Drosophila melanogaster: one gene and its partner. The protein of the gene in region 1 interacts with the protein of each later gene in a pairwise test. Each region holds a gene or a part of one and is shown on either strand. Other genes may lie near its edges. The genes, in order: PPYR1 and PpY-55A.

The links.
Region 2: the proteins of PPYR1 (region 1) and PpY-55A interact in a two-hybrid assay, tested with the Drosophila melanogaster proteins (one study listed by BioGRID).

Annotation. Positions count from the first base shown.
Region 1 is NC_004354.4:15,243,090-15,246,560, forward strand, and holds PPYR1 (protein phosphatase Y regulator 1), read right to left. Parts: upstream 1,825-3,471; 5' UTR 1,749-1,824; coding exon 819-1,748; 3' UTR 770-818; downstream 1-769.
Region 2 is NT_033778.4:17,954,669-17,958,447, forward strand, and holds PpY-55A (protein phosphatase Y at 55A), read right to left. Parts: upstream 1,903-3,779; 5' UTR 1,821-1,902; coding exon 876-1,820; 3' UTR 728-875; downstream 1-727.

The DNA of each region.
Region 1 (3,471 bases):
AATTGGTTGCCAGTTATAGAATACGTAAAACGTGCGACACAAATTCAAGTTCAATGGAATTCTACGGGAATTCTACCTTTCAGAGTGGAAATGAACTAAGGGAGAAGAAAATAGGAAACACAGAGATTTTCATTAGTGGAAAACCCACAGTGGAACTAAGAACCTTTCTAGAATTTCATTTAATTTGCAGTTCCGCAGATAGTTTTGGTTGCTCTTGCTCTCCCTTTCGCTCACTATTGCCGGCTCTTTCTGGGCCGTGTGAGTTGTGTAATTCGTGCAAGCGAGAGGGCGATAGAGTTTGTGATAGGGAGAGGGGGACAGAGAATAGGCCGCGCAAAAAAGTTGGCAGACTTATTTTTTCCCCCATTTTTGCACTCTAAAGTTCCTTATACTCCCACAGTTTTGTGCTTTTGTTTTTGTTTCGCTAGAATTTGTTCAATTTAATGTAACATGAAGGAGAAGGCACAAAAACCAGAAACAGGGCGGCGAACTTGGGGGTGGGCGTGAGAAACAGGCGGAAACACAACATGGAAAACTGAAAAGTTTGCGGTGACGCCGGAAAATTCCATCAAAACTGTGGGAAACAGCCTTAAAATGACTTTAAGGGTTTCCCAATTATTTGGAAGGCCCTGAAAAAATAAGGAAAATTGTTCAGATCACTAAAAGCTTGATAAACTAATATAAAATTTTTATTTGATTATGTTTTTATATGTATTTATGATTTATATATATCCTAAAGAACGTAGAAATTATTCAAAATACATGTATTATTTAATTTTGAACGATTTAATACTATGTAACACGCAAACGCAAGCAAATTAAATGAATTTTAAGCGATAAGGAATAACACCTTGATCAGTGTTGAAATTTAACAGAATATCAACAACGTACAACGGGCGGTCAGCGGTTAATTCTTCGCCATCGTCTTCCAGCTCTCCTGATCCTCCTAATCCTCCAGATCCCTCAGTTCCTCCAGATCCTCCAGATGCGTCAGGTACTCCAGATGCTGCGGCTGTTTCTGTTTCTCCAGATCCAGCAGACCTCTCCCCTGTTTCAGTATTTCCTGTTTGTTCAGTTCCTCCTGTTTTGTCCAATCCTTTGGTGTCGTCTGTGTCTCCTGATCCCTCGGCTCGTACAGTTTCTTCAGAACCCCCTGTTACTTCTTTCTTTGTACCGAAATCAGACATTATAAACTTATTCAAAACCTGCTTTTTCTGCGCCTGCATGGCACGCCACTCGTCGAGTGTATATTGTTCGGTCTCCTCCGATGAATCGTACTCGTAGACGAAACTCGATACCTTTGGTAACTTCATCCCTTCGAAGGTGCGCAAATTGGTCCTCTGACGCAAGTCGATCTCCTGCTGGATGGATCCCCAGTTGTGGGCCCCGGCTCCATTGCGTTTTTCCACCGCCTTTACGCCAGTGCGTTTCGATCCGGAACGGCGATCAAAGAGTCGGTCACCAGGACGATTGCGTCTGGTTTTGCAAAGTTTGTTTTTCGGTACTGTAACGAATACTGACTCTACTTCCTTCTCAAGAGGATCTGCCACCTTGATGTCCTTCACCCGTTCCTTTTTGGGTGCAGTCAATGGAGTGGTCAAAGTAATCTTGTTCTCCACCTTTGGCTGAAATAGACGTGCTGCCTTCTGTGGTTTCTGCGACATCTTGGGAACGGCCACCATTGATGACTTCTTCTGTGACTTCTTCATCTTGGGATCCTTGGTGAGGGCTACGAGTGGTACGTTCATACTGTCGTCGAAGGTGCAACGATTGTTAAAGCTCGAATTTAAGTAAAAATCAGATATATAATTTATTATATAATCGGAGCTCTGAAGGCGAGCGAGTTTGGAGCTGAACTGAATGAGAAACGGAATGAGCCTGGCAGCTGATCGACTGGGCAACTAAGTTTTCCCAAAAACGGTTTAAGATTGACTCAGCAAATATAAGCCAGAAGTTACAGTTGCTCAGTTTTTGTTTGATAAGTTTGATAAGATCATAATATATATTCATATAACTCAATTAATATATGCTTTGCATATGTTTAATGGAGGCTTTTGAAATGCATTATGTTATGTACTTCTTGTGCATTGGTACATAAATACTGAGTTGATATATATGGACATCATAATTTTTTCAAATTCCAATAAAAGGCTACTCAAGGAATTTCGTTATAAAATATTTGTATTTTTCATAACATTCAATTACGTGTCTCTAGTGTTCGCAACCCCTCATTTATTTCGAAAAGTTATATATATGATTGCCATGGAGTTGCTAGGATATTCATTTAAGCGTTCAGTTACCAGCGCAATTTTCCGGCATTATTATTTATAACTTTATACGCTCGCCGAGTGCTTCGTTCTACCCACTCCGTTCATTTCATTTGGCTTCCCGTTCCTGTGGCTCCCTTGTGTCTCTGTGGAGTGGCCAAAAGTCCAGTGGCCAAGAGTCCAGTGGTCGAGGGGTCGGTCCATGGTCTTGGCCATCAAGTTCTGTGTTTTGTCATAAGTCATGTGTCTGCTCGTCCTCGTTGTGTGTTGCTTCTGTTTTTCCAGCACAAAGTTGTGTACTTATGAAAATTAGTTTCTGCTCTGCTCTGCTACTATTTTTCATAATTAAAGTGCAAATAAAAAACTAAGCTGGCGAACAAACAATTGCAATTAACTCTTGTTGTTGCTGTGGCCCCCCTGTTGATGTAGTTATTCGCATTTATTTGCGAGATTCGTGTTTTTCTACCGCCCCATTTTTGCTCTCGTTTTTTTTTTTTATGTATATATTCGCCTCTGCCGCTGCTGTGCAAAAACATAATTCACTTTTTATTATCTCATATTTTATAGAAAGTTCCAGGAAAATATGGGTGGGTGTATATCAGCCATATATATATATATATATATATATGTGCATGCACATATACACGCATATACACTGGGGTGTATACATAATGCAGGGGCTGTAAGCCTCTCTGTGTGTCGTTTAATTCATTTAGTTTATGCTTTTAGCGCTTTATTTGCTTAACTGCAGTTTGCATGTGTGCTTAAGTGTGCGTGTGTGCGTATGTGTGCGTGAGCATAATTGCAGCACACACGCACATATACAGATGCACTGGATTTTGCAATTACTCCGCTTGACAAACAGCGGCAGCAACAAGAACAACAACAACAGCAAGGAGTCGCAGCAGAACAGTGAAATTAATCAAAATATGAACAATTCGAGCCGCTACCCTGAAAAACCGCTCGGAAAATACCCACTCCACTCGTGGCAGTGGAAAACCGCAGATGCTGCCATTGACAACGCATCGCTGCATTTCACATTTCACATTTTGCATTTCGCATTCCGGGGCATCCTTTCGCCTGTTTGCCAAATATCAGCAAATTTTGCGTTTAAGCCAAGTGCAAACATTTTAGCAAACGGCGAGCAAACAACAAAAGACGGCAGGCACAGCCGCCTTTCCATTCCATTCAATCGATTGCCCCT
Region 2 (3,779 bases), on another chromosome or scaffold:
TAAATTGCAGTCAAATGGCACGCTGTGTGCATTCCAAATGCCAAGGATCCAGAACATCCTGCTGCAGGACGAGGGAGGGCGAGGATGTATTAAATTATTCGAGCGTGCAGCAACCAGACGGAGATACTTTCGTATGCAACACTGAGCAGTCCGTCCAAGTCCAAGTCCACATACACACACTCGCCTGTTTGCCATGCGACTTTTGCCAGATCAAATAAATGTTGTCTCATGCACGAGGACCAAACCAGCGAACCTTGGACAGGAGGCTAAGCTGCAGAATGCCTCCTCATCAGGAAATCAGCTTCAGCATCAGCATAAGCATCAGAATCAGCATCTCAATCTGGCAGCAAGTCTGGGCCAACTTAAGAGCCATATAAAATTCATTTGGCCGAGCAGCACAGCAACGAGCTGCAAATGAAATGGCGAAACAAGCGTGTTGAAGCCACCTGTCAGTCCAGTCCAGTCCGTCCAGTCCTGCCAGGTGACACAGGAAGTGGGTCAGTCGGAGATTCGGATGGGAAATCTACCTCACATTGACCTTCAATTGCTATGAAGTTGTGCAAGTCAACAAGGAGTTGACTTCGGGCAAATATTCAAATATGATAAAATTTAATTTGAAGTCACTTTATTTTCAAGTATTCATAGGGAAGCTCAAATTTCCGAGTAATTTATATTGCTACTGTTTTGTTTGCTTAATTTGAAAGACTTAGAAATGCAATGGAATACTAGTAACTAATGTCTTTTATTTTCTGGTTAAATATTTAAATGTGAACGTATATATAGTATATATATTTGATATATCAGCTACATAAAAAGAATTGTTATTGTACGAATTTAATTGCACGAAGTGATATATACATGTATGAAAAACAAAATCACTCCTCTTCGTTAGTCGGCATTTGGTTGGCATCAGTCGCAATCATTTTGTATTTGTGACACGGTAGAATAATGACGAAGGAGCAGATCAAGTCTGTGCTAACACTCATCACTCCGCCGGCATTGTTCATCATACCGCAATAGTTGGGGGCCGAGAATACGGTGACCAGCTGTCGGTTGGCAAAGAACTCGTATCCATCCTCCACAACCTCATGGGCGCGAACCATAAGTTGCAAGTCGAAGGCTTTAAGAAAATCCCGAACTATGACCTTATCGAAGGTGAAGCTCACACCGCGATCGTTGTGACCCCAGCCTTTGGTGGTGTGATTTAGATCCGCCCAAAGGAGATCGCACATGATACCCTCATCCGGAATATCAGTGGGTCGCTGAATATGATTGATCTGTTGCAAATTCCGGAGCGATGGACTCAGTCCTCCGTGGCAGCAGAAGATGCGCTCGCCCACCAATGCGGCCACCGGAAGCCAGTTGAAGCAATCGGTGAAACTGTGCCACAGACGAACAGTGTGTCTACGTTTGATCTCGTCATAAAATCCGTAAATTTTATTTATACTGGCGCTCTCGTGATTGCCGCGAAGCAAAAAGAAATTTAGCGGATATTTAACTTTGTAAGCAAATAGCAGGCAAATTGTTTCCAGCGATTGCTTGCCCCGGTCCACATAGTCACCGAGAAATAAATAGTTGGCTTTGGGTGGAAAGCCGCATGCCTTGAAAATCCTCAAGAGATCTGTAAACTGGCCATGAATATCGCCGCATATATTGACCGGAGCCTGAAGTTCGAGCAGCATCGGTTGCCATTTGATCACTTCACGAGTCTGTTGAATGAGTCTCTCGATTAGTTCCTCCTTTAATGTGCACTCACTTCCATTCAGGGATGTGAGCTCCTTTATAATGCAATCTATTTCGTGAGTAGTTAAGACGGCCATCGTATTCGATTTTATTTGTACTAAACATACAACGAAAAATTTTTATAATATACTGTGACATTTTTTAGAAAGGAAGTGTTTTTTGTTTGTAATAGTATTAGTGAAATTAAACATATTTAGCGCTTAAGACTATTTTTTTTATATATGTGAGGATAATCTTCCAGCTCCGCACTTTCCACAAAATCCACATCCGACTTTAGCCCAGACTTGACTGGGCTTAAAGCAGAAGCGTTAAAGTGCAAAAGATTTATGGAATTTATTTATGTGCCAGTTAAAATGGCTCCAAGGGTGGGTGGTGGTGGGGTTGGGCGTGAATGGGGTGTAGTGAAGGCCGTCATCATCATCATCGTCATCGTCATCAGCATCATCTTGGTTGTCGTCATCGTCATCTCCATCAGAAGCGCCATCACAATTTTCGTAGCGGCGGTGTGGACGTAAGCGGATTTGCGACAAAACTCATTCGCCATGGACACGATGCCACGCCCACACCGCTCAGTCCACCTGCTCCCTCAGTCCAACCAACGAACTCAGCCCACCTCCGCACCCTTGAATGGACCCCCCTTTGGGCCAACAAGTTTGGCTTGGCTTGAATCGCTCGGCTGGTCAAAACCTCCGACGTCTTTGCCGCTTGTTAGCAGTTGACAGCAAAGAGTGACGGGGCTAAATCCTGTTAAAATTTAGTGCAAAATAAGATAGAATGCTGGATGCTTAGCCGGGGAAAAGGAAAGTAAATTATTCGTTCTTCACTCTCATTGAATGCCGTGTACGTACTACGTAGATTTTCTCCGCTTTTCTCTTGCTCCCACCATTTTCGCATTGCTTTCGCCCCTGCACTTTTCATTGAAAAGGAAAATATAAAAATATAAAATAAATAAAATAAAGTTCCGACTGGCCATATACATAAGTTTCGCCATTTTATTCGCTCAAGACCAACCAACATAAATATCTTTGTATTCCGCTGGCCCATAAATTGTCGCCGAAAGCTCCGAAAACAATAAAAATAAATGAACTTGAGTGAGTCTTTGCACTGGAACCGAAAATGAAACCGAAACCGAAACCGAGAGACCCGAAAATATAAAAAAAAAGAAGACCCAAATTGGAACTGGAACTCGAAACGAGGCAATTTGATGTTGATTATTACTCGTCCTTCTAGTGGGAATTACTTTTCTCGGCTATGGTTTATGTCTTCCCGGCTATTTTGGCTATTAGTATTTATGGCCCTGTCCACTGCCGACCAAAATCGCATTCTAAATGATAAAGAATTTGTGGCGCATATATCTTCATCAGCTGGATGGAATAAGTGACAGAAATAAAATAATAAAATGCATTTAGGCGGGCATCTGGCTTGTTCTTCTAATGGAATCATCATTTTACGGAAAACACATGTTGAATTAAAATTTTTTTGTATTAATATTAATAATTGTTATTCATCAATTTTTGGCAAACAAATACCCATTTTCTTATAAGTTTCCAAAAATTATTGGTCCTCTTCAATACACCAAAAACTTTGAACTTTGCAGTTAATTGCCAAAACAATCGAAATATGCAAATTGTTTCACCCATACATGCCCATCATGTTTTCATTTCTAAAAAGCTGATTATTTCATCGTACATTGTCTGCACGACCATTTTTCCTATGAATCTTCATTTTAAAACTGACTCCTTACCAAAAATGTGCTGCAGAGTTTGTGCAAGTTTCTATTAGCTACTTTACCCCTTTTTTTTTGCTTGTCCTAGAAAATCAAAACAAAATTCATATAAATGCTCTTATTTATTTGGGTGGCGGGGGATGCGGGGCACTGGAGGACACATGAACCGGACAACAATTGAGAGAGTTGCCATGGCGACAGGACTTTGGGGGGCGGAAAGGTTGCTCCTAAGTCCCAACACGTGCTCTGAACTTCTTGGTTTCCTCCCGTACTAAAGTACTTGATGCAATGCGCGTGGAACCCAGTGCAC